Linked DNA regions of Saccharomyces cerevisiae S288C. The protein of the gene in region 1 interacts with the protein of each later gene in a biochemical or structural test. Each region holds a gene or a part of one and is shown in the gene's direction. Other genes may lie near its edges. The genes, in order: NPR1, LDB19 and ORM1.

Region 1 (6,773 bases):
GCCTTTATGTATCCTTCACGATCATACTCTACCCGTGACAGATTTCCAAGTTTCTTCTAGTCAAGGAAAATTTTTATCATGTACTGATACGAAACTCTTCACAGTATCTCAAGATGCTACCATTAGATGCTATGATTTGAGTTTAATAGGCAGCAAAAAGAAGCAGAAGGCAAACGAAAATGACGTTAGTATTGGTAAGACCCCAGTATTGCTTGCGACATTTACAACTCCTTATTCTATCAAATCCATTGTACTGGATCCTGCTGACAGAGCATGCTATATTGGTACTGCGGAAGGTTGTTTTTCATTGAATTTATTTTATAAACTAAAGGGTAATGCTATCGTTAATCTGCTACAGTCCGCCGGAGTAAACACAGTTCAAAAAGGTAGGGTTTTTTCCCTAGTGCAACGTAACTCACTAACTGGCGGCGAAAATGAAGATTTGGATGCACTATATGCAATGGGCCAACTTGTCTGTGAGAATGTCCTAAATTCAAATGTGTCATGCCTAGAAATATCAATGGATGGTACATTATTATTGATCGGTGATACGGAGGGGAAAGTTTCTATTGCGGAAATTTACTCAAAACAAATCATTAGAACTATCCAAACTTTAACTACATCACAGGATTCAGTTGGAGAAGTGACCAATCTCTTAACCAACCCTTACAGACTCGAACGTGGAAATTTACTTTTTGAAGGAGAATCCAAAGGCAAACAACCTAGTAATAATAATGGTCACAATTTTATGAAGATACCAAACTTACAAAGAGTTATCTTTGATGGTAAAAACAAAGGCCATTTACACGATATTTGGTATCAGATAGGAGAACCAGAAGCAGAGACAGATCCTAACCTCGCATTACCACTTAACGACTTTAATGCCTATTTGGAGCAGGTCAAAACGCAAGAATCGATATTTTCACATATCGGTAAGGTGTCAAGCAATGTAAAAGTGATTGACAATAAAATCGACGCCACTTCATCTTTAGACAGCAATGCCGCTAAAGATGAGGAAATTACAGAACTTAAGACCAACATAGAAGCATTAACTCATGCCTACAAGGAGTTACGTGACATGCACGAAAAGCTGTACGAGGAACACCAACAGATGCTTGACAAGCAATAAACGGAATAGTCGCGCATTTTGTACAATAAAATAGGAATGTTATTAAAATATACAGCATAGATAGATATAATTCATCACTTGTGCGAAACATCTCATTCTCAATCTGACTGATCATCTATTACGGAATTTTTTCGTTATCAATGACGCATCCCACAATTCCTACCCTTATAGCTTATCTCAGAATATGGGCCGCCTTTAGTTGTATAGAGTTAGTACGGATTAGTCAGTGGCGTACCTAGTGGCAACAATCGGCAGTGACTAAAAATCTTGCTTTTGTTATTGAAAGAATAATAAACAGGAGTTCTCGTTCCTTTGCGTCATTTTCAACCCCATACAAACTAGTTGGCTTGTACCAGAACTCATTAATACTTTTGTCTAACTCTTTCCTATTTCTGATTTTCCAACAGCTCATACCCATTCAAACAAAAAAGGAAAGCTCTACGAAACATTATGTCTTCATTAACTCGATTGCTACAGGAAAAACGAAAAAATGAAACTTCGAACTCATCACCGAGAACTTCTGCTGATACGTTGACCACGACGCCCGAGTCACAATCGCTTGACCTTCACTCTAGGAATAAGAGTAGTAGTCATATTGGTAGCGTGAGTAATAGCAGCAGTAGTGATCGTAATAGGGCTAACGTGCCAGTTCCTGGCAGTGTCACAACTGTTACTCAAATATACTCAGAGGAAGATTCATCATCAACAGCCGGTTCCTCTCTCGACGATAGGAATCAGTTTTCCTCCAGCTTCCTTAATGCAAACTTTGCTCACACTGCATCATTCTACGGCACAAGTGCACAAAGTAGAGATAGATTTGGATCCTTAATAAACGATCAAGGTACTGCAGGACTTTCCTCACATGGTGGTTCTTTTGCTGCACAGAACAGAATCACAAGTAGATTATCTACCACGTCACATACTTCAGGAAGGGCCATTCCTTCTTTATCATCAAGTATACCTTACTCCGTGCCAAATTCTAACAAAGATAACAATAGCTCGAATAGCAACAGCTCCTCTTTGTCTTCTTCGTGGCTCGAAACATATGCAGGCGGTATGCCCAATAATATTTCTGCAATCGATTCAAATGTTATATCCTCCCCAAAAGTAGATAGCGTGGAACCACGTTTTGTTATCTCCAAACAAAAACTCCAAAAAGCATCGATGGATAGTAATAATGCAAATGCCACTCAATCAAGATCTATATCCCGTTCAGGTTCATTCTCTTCACAGCTTGGGAATTTTTTCTTTTCCAAAAACTCAAAAGAATCTTCAAATTCTAACTCTGCAGGCATGTCTTTTTCTGCCAATTCCAATGGTCCTTCTCCAAACATTAAGAATCCCAATGTTACCAATGGTTCGACGCCTATCCCGAAGCCTATCCGCGCAAGACAAAGCAGCATATATTCTGCATCAAGACAGCCAACTGGTTCCTATACTGATAACTTTTACGGTTCCCCCTCATCTGTACATGACCACTTACCTCCAAGTCAAAGTGTTCCAAGGTCACAACATTCTTCCATCGGTGATTTAAAGAGGTTCTTCAAAAAAAGTTCTAACAGTAACCTTTCCTCGAATAGTAACAACGTGATCCCGAACGGATCACCTCTTTCTAGCGGAATTGCCGTTCCGTCACACTCTCATTCATCGTCTCATTTTGCCGCAGGGAATAACTCATATTCCACTAGTTATAACGGAAATGGAGATACTATTTATTCTCATAGTCACGGCGGTTCAGGAATTCCGTTCTCAAAAAGGTACATCAAAACCGGTGCCGATTTAGGCGCTGGAGCAGGAGGTTCTGTCAAATTAGCTCAAAGAATTTCAGATAACAAAATATTTGCAGTGAAGGAGTTTAGAACTAAATTTGAAAATGAATCCAAAAGAGATTATGTCAAGAAAATTACATCAGAATACTGTATTGGTACAACTTTGAATCATCCCAATATCATTGAAACAATTGAAATCGTGTATGAAAATGATAGAATTCTCCAAGTTATGGAATATTGTGAATACGATTTATTTGCTATTGTAATGAGTAATAAAATGTCCTATGAAGAGATTTGTTGTTGCTTCAAACAAATACTTACTGGTGTACAATATTTGCATAGTATCGGCTTAGCTCATAGAGATCTAAAGCTAGATAATTGTGTTATAAACGAAAAAGGTATTGTAAAATTAATCGATTTTGGTGCTGCTGTGGTATTTTCATATCCATTCTCAAAAAATCTTGTGGAAGCAAGTGGAATTGTTGGAAGTGATCCATATTTAGCACCTGAAGTCTGTATATTTGCGAAGTATGACCCACGTCCCGTAGATATTTGGTCTTCTGCAATCATTTTTGCATGTATGATACTGAAGAAATTTCCATGGAAAATTCCGAAATTAAGGGACAATTCATTCAAACTATTTTGTTCCGGACGTGATTGCGACTCCTTAAGTAGCTTGGTTACAAGAACTCCTGATCCACCTTCCTACGATGAATCGCACTCAACAGAAAAGAAAAAACCCGAAAGCTCTTCCAATAATGTATCAGATCCTAATAATGTTAATATCGGGCCACAAAGATTGTTGCACTCATTACCAGAAGAGACTCAGCATATTGTTGGACGTATGATTGATTTGGCGCCCGCATGCAGAGGAAATATCGAAGAAATCATGGAAGATCCTTGGATCCGTAGCATTGATATGTGCCACTTGGTTGAAGATGGATTATCGTTCAAAGTGGTTAGAGGAGAAGACCATCATCACACACAAGTGGATCAAAGTGAAGCACATATTGCAGGCCTAGAAAAGAAAAAGAAAAAGCAAAATAATCAATAAATAAGCGTCCCCACTTTTATTTCTTTTCCAAGCATTTGTATATAACCTTTTTTTATCCTATTTGAGTATATGTTAAAATACAATGTCATATTTACTTCTGTTAAACTAATTTCATATTTTACCGTTCTATAGAAGCCTAAATAGATTGACCTCCTGTTCATAATCTACTATTTTATCAGAAAAATGTAAAAGCTTAGTATGATAATAATTAATGGAAAAGTTCGTTAAAATATCGCGCCACTAATTAATAATAATGAAGCGGGTAACATTAATTGTCTTACCAAGGCGACAATTCCCTTTTCTAAAATTTCACAGCAAAGAAGCTTTAGAAAGTGCAGTAAATCTACAACTCATAAGAAGGAAAAAAAGCGTGAACATTCAAATCGACAGCGTAACCTTCTGTATTTATTTCTGTTTGTTGTACTTTCGAACTCTCGAATACCATAGAGGAACTATTAGTCTCCATAATGTCACAGGCAGCAAAAAACGTGATAGTAAAGCTAATAGTAGGAGCAGGCCAAGCGGCACCATCACCTCCCGTGGGGCCCGCATTGGGCTCCAAGGGTATAAAAGCCATTGACTTTTGTAAGGAATTTAATGCAAGATCAGCAAACTATCAGCCAGGTGTACCGGTTCCAGTATTAATCACAATAAAACCTGATAGAACATTTACGTTTGAAATGAAATCTCCACCAACCGGATATTTGCTGCTAAAAGCTCTTAAAATGGACAAGGGACATGGACAACCGAATGTGGGGACAATGTTAGGCAGTGCACCTGCCAAGGGACCAACCCGTGCTTTAGGAGAGTTATCGCTGAAGCACGTTTACGAAATAGCCAAGATAAAAAAGAGTGATGAAAGGCATAGTTTATTGGAGATGGAAGGTATTGTTAAATCAATAGTTGGCGTTGCAAAAAGTATGGGTATTAAGGTTGTACCTTGATCTGTAAGTAGTGAAAAGACAAAAAAGTACCGTCAATTTCGAGAAATTTTCAACAGACCTTCCTTCTTCTTTCTACTGATCTATTCTGTAAATATGTATATAAGTTTTAAATTCTCTTTCTCCCGTTATGTTAGCAAAGCTCGGTAGTACTGAAGCTATTCTGAGTAAACGCTTCTCCAACTCTGTATACTGAGAGTTGTTTTATAAGTCAATAAAGACCGGATATTTATATGTATATATTGATTTGGTATAATAAAAATGAAATGCTAATAAAAATGCCTATGAAAAGAGGAAAATCCAGGAATATCGAGTTTTTTCATTTGGTGAACTTCCTTTTTTTATTTTTTTTCCATTTTTTTCTGTTATTTTTCTTGCTATTAATCTTCAATGGGCGGTTATTTGGTTCGTTAACAGCCTGTTCCTGTTTGGATTTAGAGGTAACATTACCAGTGGCCATGGCAGATTTCGCCAATGGCAATGGAACCGATTTTGGAGTTAGCCTCGTGTATAGGAGATAATATGCGTTGGGTTCCTTTAAAACGTCCCTTTCAGATATTATATTAATATACTCGTCGTCGTAAGTGGCCCAGCTACCGTCTGGTTGCTTGCAGTGGGCAATGTAGTGACCTGAAGAAAGGGAGCGGCCCTCATGAACCACCACGCTTAATAGTTGGTATTTGACAGGTAGCTCTTTACTCTCACAATATTCCGTCAAATCTAAAAACATAGGATAAGAAACAGCTTGCTTCATTTTTGATGAGGACGTGCCATTGAATCTGAATTTTTTCAGATGCACAAGTAAAGTTTCAGGAGCCCTTAATATTGAACTATGCTTCACGGCGTTCGTGGTCTTGTGACACTTCTCACAAACGTAACCCTTTTGCTCCTTGTCAACCTTGATTAATTCGGGATTGAAGAAATCTTTAATTGATTTTTCAATAGAAAATCTGCGGTTGGCTGAACTTAAATCACTGGCAGCGGCAAATGGTGAGCCATTGTTTAAATTGACAGATGAAGAGGATGAAAGAGATGGTTTTGTGGCAGCATTGGAGGTAGTGGTAGAAGTGGTGGCTGAAGTGCCGTTAATGCTATCACTCGACAGGTCAGAATTTGGATCAAGTTTTTTCTTCCCTTTCAAGTGCAACGATAAATCGTAAAATGGTTGTTCTGTTTTAGATATACTGCCACAAGATTTGCAAGTAACGATCTGCTTTAAAAGACCACCGAATATGTCATATATTATCGATTCTATAAGTTTATGACCCTTGGGAACAGAATCTTCCTGTAATCTTGACATCAGAGACATGAAGTACTCATGTGAATCTTCCTGCTGCCATTCGCTCATCATACAATTAATGTCATCCAATCTGGAAATCAAATGTTTTGGATTAATGTAGGAAGCTGAAACGTTCTTTCTAGGGTTTTTTGAGACCGGTAACCACATTTTTTTACTTGTTTCAGCTAAAGTATAGGAAACGGAATTTTTTGAGATGGTGCTATCGTATTTCCCCATTAGTATATCAAAAAGATAATGTTGTATCGAAGGAATGTGTAACATAGCCTGTACAGCAGCATTTGTGTAACAAGTAACACCATGATTCAAAAGGCCACGAGGCTTCAAATTGGTGAATTTGTCGCCCCAATTTTTAACAATTCTAGTAGAGTTTAAAGAACCACGATCATTGATATTTTCATTGAATTGGTAAAAGTTTGATAGATTTGATATTGTAACCGGAGGGGTGATTGACCTAGATTTATGTTTCAGCTCTTCTTCCTCTTCTTCCTCCTCCTCTCCCTTTGGATTCCTGTTTCCATTTTCTTTGGTGTTGTTTACTGGTTCGTACCGATTTACTTCCACTGTACTATTTTCCATTAAA
Region 2 (7,053 bases), on another chromosome or scaffold:
CTCATCCACCGCTGGCGGCATTAAATTAGGGAATATGCATTCTCAATCACAAATTTCCGTAAACTCCTCCCCCAGCACATCTTTGTTTTATCATGATTTGGACGGTTCTGCTGTCAACGATTCTTCGTCATTTCTGTATTCCCGTTCTAATGTACCAGCATTTTTGTCGTCATCAGCCTTTTCGTCCACGTCATCCACCTCATCAGATTCAGAAGATGTGGATAGAAGAAGTTTAAACGGTGTATATCCCTCTTTAGGATATTTGACTAACCAGAGGAAACCAAGGAATTCATCAGGCTCTTCCACTGCACCTGGCACCGATACCTTGGGATTTAAGTATTTACTGAATAGGCAGAAGTCAGCGGATTCTTCCACTAGGTTCAAGAGTGTACTGAAGGTGAACAATAATAATGGCTCCGCAGCCACTCCTGATTCTAGCTCAAACTCTATTTCGAAGAGCAACTCAAATTTGAATGATAACATTGATGAATTGAATTATTATCAAAATCATATTTCGACACTTCTAGTGAAGATCGAGAATGAGATGAGAAGAAATTTAAACGATACAATAATCAAGAATGAAAACAACGTTCAAAAAACTATCCAAAAGTATGATCTTCTATCAGGAGAGTTAACCCTTTTATTAGACGAAATGACCACCTTGCGAACCACGGTGATTAATCAATTCTTGGTCAAGTTGAAATCAGACTTTGACGAGGATGACAATAAGGCGTTTATTAATGAATTAAAGATATCAGTCGAAGAAAGTGTAGCGCAATTACAAGGATTGGAAAGGAGAATGGAGGTTTGCCAAGAGAGATTAAATAAACAAAAGTCCTCTCTAAGGGAAATGGATAGTTTGATAGAGCTGAAAAACGTGTTAAATAAATCGAAGAACAACACGAAATCCATCTACCTGTATAGGTATTTCATCATTGACATTATTGCATTTCTTTTGATGGGCGGCTTTATCGTTTACGTCAAGAATTTGTTAACTCGTTTTTTTACTCGTTAAAAAGTCAAAACAAGGTCACTTTACAAAAATGGTACGCGTACAAAGATAAAATCACCTCTGAACATAATAATATACATCTATATACATATATATATATATATATATCACACATCAATCAACGCGCATGGACATTTGAATCAATGGGGCAGGAAAGGCGATGCAGTGGCCAAATTTCTTTGTTCATTTGTGGCGTTGGGTCAATGAGTCAAAAAATGAAAAAAGTCGACAGACGTTTTTCAAAAAGCTTCAAGAAAAGAAGAGAAAAAGTAAAAGCGTATTGGTAAAAAGAGTAAGAACAAAAAGGAGCACAGGCAACCAATATAAAGATGTCCAGTTCACAACAAATAGCCAAAAATGCCCGTAAAGCAGGGAATATTTTGAAAACCATCTCAAACGAGGGCAGATCAGATATTTTATACAAAATTCACGATGCCCTGAAGGCTAATGCGCATGCCATTGAAGAAGCGAATAAAATCGATTTAGCTGTTGCCAAAGAGACTGGCCTAGCGGATTCTTTATTGAAACGTCTCGACCTATTTAAAGGGGACAAATTTGAAGTTATGTTACAAGGTATTAAGGATGTAGCCGAACTAGAAGACCCTGTTGGCAAGGTTAAAATGGCCAGGGAATTAGATGATGGCTTGACGTTGTACCAAGTAACCGCTCCAGTCGGCGTTTTGTTAGTTATCTTTGAATCCCGTCCAGAAGTTATTGCCAATATTACCGCATTGAGTATCAAGTCTGGTAATGCTGCAATTTTGAAGGGTGGTAAAGAGTCTGTGAACACGTTCAGAGAAATGGCAAAGATCGTTAACGACACCATTGCACAATTCCAAAGTGAGACTGGTGTTCCTGTGGGCTCTGTGCAATTGATCGAAACCAGACAGGATGTTTCCGACTTGTTGGATCAAGATGAGTACATCGACTTAGTTGTTCCTCGTGGTTCCAATGCCTTAGTCAGAAAAATCAAGGACACTACAAAAATTCCCGTGTTGGGTCATGCGGATGGTATCTGCTCAATTTACTTGGATGAAGACGCAGATTTGATTAAGGCAAAAAGAATTAGTTTGGATGCAAAGACTAACTACCCAGCTGGTTGCAACGCTATGGAAACGTTGTTGATTAACCCAAAATTCTCTAAGTGGTGGGAAGTTCTGGAAAACTTAACTTTGGAAGGCGGAGTGACTATCCACGCTACAAAAGATTTGAAAACTGCGTATTTTGATAAACTGAATGAGTTAGGGAAATTGACAGAAGCAATTCAATGCAAAACCGTTGATGCTGATGAGGAGCAAGATTTTGATAAGGAATTTTTATCCTTGGATTTGGCTGCCAAGTTTGTTACATCTACAGAATCGGCCATTCAACATATAAATACACACTCTTCGAGACATACCGACGCTATTGTAACGGAAAATAAAGCAAACGCTGAAAAATTTATGAAGGGTGTCGACTCCTCTGGTGTTTACTGGAATGCATCAACTAGATTTGCCGATGGTTTCAGGTACGGTTTTGGTGCTGAAGTGGGTATTTCTACCTCTAAGATTCACGCCCGTGGTCCAGTTGGCTTGGACGGTCTGGTGAGTTATCAATACCAAATAAGAGGTGACGGCCAGGTTGCTAGTGACTACCTTGGTGCTGGTGGTAACAAAGCTTTTGTTCACAAGGATTTAGATATAAAGACTGTGACATTATAAAAATTTTTAGGATAAAGCTAAGTTCCATGTATGAAGGACGTGTATACATAGTTCAGTAAAGCCATCAAATAAGTACTCTTGTCAACTCATTCTATGGTGTGATAGTTAATTGCTTACTTGTATCGCTATTAACGACTTTTTTTTTCTTTTGGCGGAAGCTTCAAGACAAAAATGCGATTTGAGCTGACTCGAACACTTATTAAACCAGACGGAAAAGCACGACTCATACATATCATAGGCAGTTTTTACTAGGGCTCCGAATACTTTGAATAATAAGGTTGATTAAGTTTGTGTGCTTCATCCAATTAGCTTTCAGTTTTCCTTATTTAAGCTTCTGATTTCGGAATCAAAAGTTGAGCAACGTTATAGCTTGCTTTTTCGGAGGAGAACGCTGTTGTTCACATTTCAACACCAGAAATTGCTGATTTTTACTCCTACTTAGTATACATTTCACTAAACAATACGTTTTACCATGGCATTTTCACGTCTTACATCTACTCATCAGTCCAATCATAACGGCTACAGTAATAGCAACAAAAAAGGACAAAGTCTTCCACTAACCCTTTCTATTGATGTAGAATCACCGCCATGTGTTCTTTATGGGTCTGCTATGGAATCCTCAGGTGCTGTGCTAAGTGGACTTTTTACTGTGACGGTTGTCGATCCCTACAGTAGTGCTGAAGATAAATCTTTAAAGAATACAGAATCTAATGTGTCGACTACTTCTAAAAGCCTAAAAAGAAAGAGTACATTTGGTTCTGCACTTTCATCTAGATTGTCCAGCTTGTCAGCGTCGACGTCAAATATCTCTCCTTCAACATCTTCTACATCCATATCGCATTCTCCCACGCCTGCTAATTTAAGAATAATGGCTGGTTATACCAAGATCACCATTACGTCGGTAACACTAAGTTTGGTACAGAAGATCCATTTCCATAAACCCTTTGTGCCTAATATTTCCTCAATGCAAACCTGTATGAACTGTAAAACAAAGATTACAAACATGAAAAGCTGGGAAATTCAGAGTAATACCCAGGATCTTTCTGTTGGAAGCCACTCTTACCCATTTTCCTATCTTATACCGGGGTCTGTCCCATGTTCTTCATCGCTAGGTGCTACGGCTGAAACCCAGGTCAAATACGAACTTATCGCTGTTGTGACGTATATAGATCCTCATAGAAATTCCTTTTCTTCCGGTCATTCTACTCCCAGGAAAGAAGGAAGCTCTTCTAAGAAGCGGTTGTTGCAACTAGCGATGCCCATCGCCGTGACTCGAAGTATACCGCGCGGGCCTGATAAGAATTCTCTAAGAGTATTTCCTCCTACAGAGTTAACTGCTGCTGCTGTTCTTCCTAATGTTGTATATCCTAAATCTACTTTTCCTTTGGAGATGAAATTAGACGGTGTTTCTTCGGGGGATAGGAGATGGCGAATGCGTAAATTGAGTTGGAGAATTGAAGAAACTACAAGAGTTAAAGCACATGCTTGTCCAGTGCACAAGCATGAATTGAGGCAGTTAGAAGAGCAGGTTAAAATAAAAGAGTCAGAAAAAAGTAAAAAGCCACGCAGTCATATTAAGCGTTATGGTGAACTAGGCCCACAAATCCGGGTTGCAGTAAACTCTTTAGAAAATATGCCGTCGCAAAGGCTTCCAGGCGAGCCCGGTCGTGAACAAGCACCTAATTCTTCGGGTCCAGCGTCAACTGGTAATGTTGGACTTGATGATGAAAATCCTGTTAATGAAGATGAGGAAGACCAACCCGGTAGCGAATTCATCCATCCCAGTGACGACGCTTTGCGTCAGGAGTTACTAATGCAGCAACAACGCGCAAGACAACAACAACTTCAACAAGAGCTAAAAAACAACAGTAGTTTATTTACGGAAGAGGTTCGGATAATATCTAAGGGAGAAATGAAGAGTGGATGGAAAACCGATTTTGACAATAATGGAAAGATTGAGCTAGTTACAGAAATAGATTGTATGGGACTTAATTCAGGCGTCTCTAATCCGGTAATGCATGCATCGACACTACAAACTCCTTCCACGGGCAATAAGAAGCCCAGCATCAATGTGGCTTGCGATATACAGGATCCAAATTTAGGTTTGTATGTAAGCCACATCTTGGCAGTGGAAATAGTTGTTGCAGAAGAAACATTGCAATATGCCAATGGGCAACCTATACGGAAACCAAACTCCAAAAACAAGAAAGAAACTAATAACAATACGATGAATGTTCATAATCCTGATCAACGCTTAGCTGAATTATCTCCAATTTTTGCAAATAGAAATACACCGAAAGTACGGCGCATGGGGCCTGAAGATATAACACCGGTGAATAGTAATAAGTCCAACCATAGTACTAATAAGGAGAAGGCATCTAACGGTGCTAGTAACTCTAATATAGTGAGTGTTCCCACTGGTGCAGCACGTGTTTTAAGAATGCAATTCAGATTAACAGTCACTGAAAGATCTGGACTTGGAATCTCCTGGGACGAAGAAGTTCCTCCCATTTACCAAGATGTCGAGTTGCTCTCGCCACCATGTTACGAGCTCTCTATAAATAATGGAATCAAAAATAAACTTTATTCAACAATGAGTACTCCTGTTAGATCAGAGGATGATTTTGTGGGCGGCAGCGATGAAGATATTGGGAACTATGAGAGCCAAGGGCTCGAACCTGGTCCTAACGTACAGGAAGTAACGATCACACAAAATAAATTAACGATACCACCAACCGCACATCACTACCAGCCTGCTTCCTCTTCGCAAAGATCCCTTACCACAGTACAGTCACCACCACTGGAAAGTGTTGTTAGTGTCCAGGGTAGTGTACCTTTTCGTGGACATGTGTTGACACCACATAGCACAAGAGATATCAGAATACAAAACTTTTCCGATTTTCTAGATTCCAATAGAATAACCCAGTAGATTTTATAATATTCGTTAAAGGTATTTACCATATATTTTTATCTTAGATACCTGAAAACTACAAATCTGATCAATAAGCAAACCCTGACCATGATTTGATGCATTTCACAGATAACTACATACAGGCATTGTTTAACACTTGAGCATTTTTTTTCTCGTATTTTCTTAAGGCTGGACTGGATTAATATCTTCATTTCGTCGTAGGTACATAGCTTTGTTATGATAAAGAAGAAGGCATAAGTCGAAAAAGATATTTCGCGCATCAATTAACATTTTTTGTGTGGTGAAGAAAAGTTTTTGATCATTCTATATATCTATGTGTTACGTATATCTTCAACAATCTGCCACGTAGGTAGCCATGCCAAGTACGCGTAATCATCTACTGGACCATCCATCCCAAAACTAAAAGGAGAGAAATAAAAAAATCCAGCGATCACGATTGATCCGTATACAATATAAGCTCCTAGCCTTAGAAATTTTCCAGTGTTTCTTGTAGCCCAACGTTTGGTAATCATATCGAAGTAGTATGACAAGATCATTAAGGCAAAATAAAGGGTGGGCAGATAGTGGTGAGCGTATACAACTCTTGACATCACTACGAATGGCATATAATGTAAAAGCCAAGCAAGCAATGGATAAAAGGCTGCCATAACGAACACGTCACGTTCGACTGGATCGGATAGGATAACACATTGTCTCTGCCATTTCAGAGTTAAGAATATAACGTGTATTATCAGTGCGCAAACTGCGATGCTTGAGGGCCAGACGGACGCAGGAGATCCTAATAAGAAGTACTTTATAGATTTTTCACTCCATTCGCATAATCTTACCCCGACGTTCAAGGTTGGCCATTGCCAGGCAGATGAAGCTATACCATCAAACTTTTCAGGGTTTGGTACCAAAGCATTATTGGTTGCCATCATTGCTGAATTTAACTGCATGAAATTCCTGAAGAATGAAGTCTTCGGATATACGAAATCTTCTCCCTGTGGCAATCTTTCATTTTCATGTGTTTCGATATTCCACCAGGTTCTCTTATCCCTTTTGGAGGCGTGTTTTAAACAGACAACTTCACCTTGCCTGAAACCCCATTCTGGTAAATGTTTACCTGACTGAGCTAAATAGCAACCCAGTATAGAATTTTTAATACGGAAAGATGTGGATAGCGGGTGTAGTAGTGTTGGATCTTCTTCCCCTACTTGTTCCACGATTTCTATAATCCAGTTATCTTTGTAGTCACCTAAGTCTACATCTCCGTAAGCAGAAACTTCATATTCACTTTTCGATATAGGCGCTGGGACTTCATGGGTGTGTAGATTCTTGCCTGTTAGGCGATGCATTAATCTATACATTTCGCCACCCTTTACAAACTCAATTGTCTTGTTCTCAGCATCAGTCCAAGGCTCTACTCC
Region 3 (5,130 bases), on another chromosome or scaffold:
TCTTTTCCAATACGCCTCGTAATTCTCTTTCAATGTCAAAGGCGCCAGATTGTAAGAATCTGTCATGTAAAATAATCTGACAATACGTAGTTTTAAAAACCAATTGATTAAACCAAGCTCTCTTATGATGCCAACTATAAAAAAATAAAGTGATCCAGTCAGTGCCCCCACGCTGAATCCCACGATTACTTGATCTAAATTGTGGTAGTGCAAGTAAACTCTGGAAAAGCAAACGCAAAACGATAATAAAGCCAATGCACCAGAAAAAATGCATTTTTCTAAGAAGTTTAGATTCTTCCAGGAAGTGTATATCTTCAGAGAGTTATAGGTAAAACAAAACCCCATGAATTGGGAGTGTGCACTGGGCATCCCGTAACCGGATCTTATAGTGTCATTTTGGAACGACGCACCGAACGATACGGGGCGTGGCTGTTTTATTATATTCTTGATCACGTTATTGAATATTTCGTTCATCAATTGGCCAAAGGCTACAATGCAGGCTTCTAACTCTCTTGTGATGATAAACCACGACAAATAAAAAGCTAGCACTAGGATGGGCATCAGCGAGAAATATGCACTAAGGAATGATAGAAAGTCATGCGAATCATAGAGAATGTATGTGTCATCGAATGGTATAACATTTGGATTTGGATTTATTGCAGCGGCGGTACTATTCATGATATGATCCGATTCAAAACAAATTTTGATGTAGATAAAATGCCTGGTATAATGAGTGGTAGAGAAGAAAATTAGACGAAAAGAATGAGAACGAAGAAATGATTTAAAGTGATCACAGTGGCAATCACTTTCCCCTTTTTAACGCGTGTTGAGCAATCGATTGATGTCTCTACCATATGTAGCATTTTCTCAGAAGGCAAACTTTTCTTTTTCTTTCTACTTTTCCAACAAGAAATTTTAAGTTTTCCCAGAAACCCGAATTCTCCTATTTCATCCACCACGTAAGAACGGTTTTCTTCCTGGCGTAATTAAAAGCATAAAGAAAAACTGAACAAGCTCTAGATGTAGATCAGGGTATACATGGTGCGCTTCAGTAAGTGTACTGTACCACTAGTTTGGCGTCTGTCACTTGAATTGCGGATTTGTGTAGAGCAATGAAAGCGCTGCTTCTGCCGCCATCAAAAAAAACTGAGTAGTTATTAAAGCCTATGTATGACAATATAAAAATGTATACAGATCAGTCTGTATATAAATCATGAAAATATCTTTAAAAATTTCAAGAGCGTGTTTCCGCTAAACCTTGTCATATTCAACACAAATCAGTATCATTCTCGGCGTAAATTACATGCGAATCTCCCTAATTGTGATTCAATATTCCAGCGAACCCCGAGAATTTAAATAGAACAGAGTATATGCATTTATTAACAGTTATTACGCCTTGTCCCCAGGGAGAGTAGTAAGGGATATGGGCATTTATAAATGTACATAAGTCACGTTTTTGCAGCCAATAAAATATAATAATAGAATAGTAACAAGGAAAGCTAGGCCAAAACTCCTTACATGGAGCTAGTATACCCCTTTTCTAAGAGGAGTACTTGGCAATCAGTTGATCAACAAGGGCAATGTATTCCTTTTCGGCATCTTCCTGGGATTTACCTTTTAAGTTTTCCCAGGCTTCCCACTTGTAGCGGTCCTTCATGTTGAAAATACCAGGCTTTTCCTTGTCGTTGTCACCTACAGTGGCTTGCTTGTACAGAGCATACAATTCTAATAATTCATCAGTGGAGGGCTTCGTTGGTAGCTCGTTGACGGCTTTAGCTTTTTCTTCGAATAATTGGGAAACCATTTTGCTGAAAACACTAGTTTAACTAATTTTAGAGTTTTAGTCTTCCTTCTTTTGCTTCACACAGTGAAATGATGTACATAACGTACTTGCTTCCGAGACAGACCAATTGATCCAAGCTAGCTATATATATGGCGGTCATTGGGGAGTTGGCCTGGAGCTGTTGAGTTTGCGGACGTGTCAGAGAGCGCGTAGGGCCGCCAGCGCCACCTGTCTTCAGGCACCAAGGCCGTAATCTCTTCCGACGGTCATTTTTTAATGGAATGTTTCAATACGAGAGTTTGTGGCATGTAGTTTAGGAACGGATTATAGAGAATAGTCGAAATATGTTTAGTCCCTACACAAATTGCTAGACTACCTGTTTCGAGTTTCCTCTATTCCTTTGCTAACGGAGCTGCGGTATATAAACCATCGTAGACTCAAAGCCGTTACCCGACAACTATCGGGTATAGTGAAATGCCTATGTTTTCACTTTAAGACCTTAGAAAACTATCATGAGATCTCGCCTTCAGATGCAGATATTTCAGTGGATTCACGAAACAAGAAAAATTCACTGATCGATAACATCTTCCTTTGCTTGATATTCCCTTTTTGAATTTCCCTAACTACCTTTTGTTGTTTACCACATATTCTCTAAAAAGCAGAGTTATTCTTATTTTGTATTTCATTGCATTTTTATCCATTTAGTTAATGACCGAATTAGATTATCAAGGAACTGCTGAGGCGGCTTCTACCTCGTATAGTCGAAATCAAACGGACCTTAAGCCGTTTCCTTCTGCAGGCAGTGCATCTTCATCAATTAAAACGACGGAACCTGTGAAAGATCATAGAAGAAGGCGTTCTTCCAGCATAATTTCACATGTGGAACCGGAGACTTTTGAAGATGAAAATGACCAGCAACTTCTACCAAATATGAATGCTACTTGGGTAGACCAACGCGGCGCTTGGATTATTCATGTGGTCATTATCATACTGCTGAAACTATTTTATAATTTATTTCCTGGTGTTACCACAGAATGGTCGTGGACTCTGACTAATATGACATATGTTATTGGGTCCTATGTCATGTTCCATCTGATTAAGGGTACCCCTTTCGATTTCAATGGTGGTGCTTATGACAACTTGACGATGTGGGAACAAATTGACGACGAGACTTTATATACTCCTTCAAGAAAATTTTTGATTAGTGTCCCGATCGCCCTATTCTTAGTTAGTACTCATTATGCTCACTATGATTTGAAATTGTTTTCATGGAATTGTTTTTTGACAACCTTTGGTGCTGTTGTCCCAAAGTTACCTGTTACTCATAGATTAAGGATTTCTATCCCAGGTATCACAGGTCGCGCCCAAATTAGTTGAACATAGTTTATTTCAATCTTGTATCTAGATGTTTTTGCTATATTTATATTTTCTGGGCCAAATCACTAACGCTTTGAAATTTCAAAAGCCAACAACGGATTTCGGACTTCATTTATGTAAATGAAAAAGAATGTGAACAAAAATTGAAAAAATTCCATATTAATGCACCTTCTAAACCTATTTGTTGAAATTGTATTTAATTCATATAATCATATTCTATTCAAAAAGAATAACAGATAGTATTAGCACTATTTCACGTACTGCTTCTAATACTATTATCACAAAATAGACATCGGAAAACTCAAAAATAACGACAACTGCAGGACTCGAACCTGCGCGGGCAAAGCCCAAAAGATTTCTAATCTTTCGCCTTAACCACTCGGCCAAGTTGCCAATGTATACATTGCTGTTTCCTGGTTTGAAGAAGCTAATCGTGCACGTAAACAACAATCTATACTACAAGTAAAAAAATGGGGAAAAAGATGCTGAAGGTGAGATATATGTGGGTAATTAGATAATTGTTGGGATTCCATTGTTGATAAAGGCTATAATATTAGGTATACAGAATATACTAGAAGTTCTCCTCGAGGATTTAGGAATCCATAAAAGGGAATCTGCAATTCTACACAATTCTATAAATATTATTATCATCGTTTTATATGTTAATATTCATTGATCCTATTACATTATCAATCCTTGCGTTTCAGCTTCCACTAATTTAGATGACTATTTCTCATCATTTGCGTCATCTTCTAACACCGTATATGATAATATACTAGTAATGTAAATACTAGTTAGTAGATGATAGTTGATTTCTATTCCAACATACCACCCATAATGTAATAGATCTAATGAATCCATTTGTTAGTTAATAGTTTAAATGTTTTTATCGGAAGAGGTTTTGTCATCACATCAGCAATGTTCTTCTTGGTCTCGATGTAGTATACGTATAGATTATTACCTGATACTTCATCTCTAAGTCTCATTGCCTTTGTGCCAAAAAATCTGTTTCTAAATTTCTCTTCATTTGTAGACTTAATTATACTGATCGTTGATCTACTATCAGTAAGTAAGCCTTTAATAATTGGTTTCTTGTTAAGTTCTTGCACAAGGTGACTGAGGTTATTCAATAGCGGAATAGCTTCACTGACTGCGTGTATTTCTGCTTCTGTAGTTGAAGTGCATGTTAACGAAGCCTTTGTCGACTTTCCTCCAATCACTTTTCCGTTGAGTAGGAAAATGTTACCAATTTGTGACTTGTAATATGGTTGGTTACCATATGAAGCATCGCTTATTGCGACTAGTTTATTATCTGGCTCGGTAGGTTTGTTTTTGTGCCATATCAGTTGTTTATCTCTAGTGTCCCACATGAATTGTATTAACTCATATGTCATGTCTAAAACTTGCCTAGAGGGGAATAGTATATGTTGAGCAAGTGTGTTGATGTAGTATAGTAAGTCAAATCTAAATTTATATCCAACATATGAAGCTAGACCAATCAACTTTTGCATTTCATGTACCTTCTCTTTGTATTCATCTTCATCTATTTCTAGTTCATCCTGGTCTATATAAAGACCTGGTTGACCTGGAGCGCTAAGTTTTCTTCCTTTTGGATTCAAAGGTACGTTTAATTTGGGTATTTTCTCAGTTAATGAGTTTTCCATACCTAATTTCATGTATTTACCTCTTTGATATTTGATTTCTAAGCCAAGTATGTCGTACTGAATTTCGTTATCACTTTCACCCAGATTTATTATCTTTGTATCGTATTGTTTCTTGAGTGTTGTTATGATTTTCTTATTTGCATTTAAGTCTTTGCTGAACAATATCATATCATCAACGAATAAGCAAATTGTTACTTGACTATTCTTAAATACGCATGACCATCCACGAACTTCTTCCATACCACACTGTTTTATCAGGTATGATTTGATAGTTTCGTACCAGTTCGCTCCACTTTGTTTCAATCC

What was found.
Region 2: of the proteins of NPR1 (region 1) and LDB19, one has a biochemical effect on the other in vitro, tested with the Saccharomyces cerevisiae proteins (one study listed by BioGRID).
Region 3: of the proteins of NPR1 (region 1) and ORM1, one has a biochemical effect on the other in vitro, tested with the Saccharomyces cerevisiae proteins (one study listed by BioGRID).

Annotation. Positions count from the first base shown.
Region 1 is NC_001146.8:290,316-297,088, reverse strand, and holds NPR1 (serine/threonine protein kinase NPR1), read left to right. Parts: upstream 1-1,579; coding exon 1,580-3,952; downstream 3,953-6,773. Other genes in the region: chromatin-binding/pre-rRNA-processing protein IPI3, read left to right, coding at 1-1,129; YNL184C (uncharacterized protein), read left to right, coding at 4,206-4,532; mitochondrial 54S ribosomal protein uL11m MRPL19, read left to right, coding at 4,420-4,896; ubiquitin-specific protease UBP10, read right to left, coding at 5,213-6,773. UniProt on the Saccharomyces cerevisiae protein: Nutrient-regulated protein kinase that promotes the activity of at least 6 distinct transport systems for nitrogenous nutrients under conditions of nitrogen catabolite derepression.
Region 2 is NC_001147.6:917,194-924,246, reverse strand, and holds LDB19 (Ldb19p), read left to right. Parts: upstream 1-3,184; coding exon 3,185-5,641; downstream 5,642-7,053. Other genes in the region: FRT1 (Frt1p), read left to right, coding at 1-1,015; PRO2 (glutamate-5-semialdehyde dehydrogenase), read left to right, coding at 1,342-2,712; dolichyl-phosphate-mannose-protein mannosyltransferase PMT3, read right to left, coding at 5,956-7,053. UniProt on the Saccharomyces cerevisiae protein: May be involved in protein-linked oligosaccharide phosphorylation since the deletion reduces the negative charge of the cell surface.
Region 3 is NC_001139.9:558,191-563,320, forward strand, and holds ORM1 (sphingolipid homeostasis protein ORM1), read left to right. Parts: upstream 1-2,491; coding exon 2,492-3,160; downstream 3,161-5,130. Other genes in the region: CAX4 (dolichyldiphosphatase), read right to left, coding at 1-678; long-chain fatty acid transporter ACB1, read right to left, coding at 1,541-1,804. UniProt on the Saccharomyces cerevisiae protein: Component of the SPOTS complex that acts as a negative regulator of sphingolipid synthesis. Acts by inhibiting serine palmitoyltransferases (LCB1 and LCB2) activity.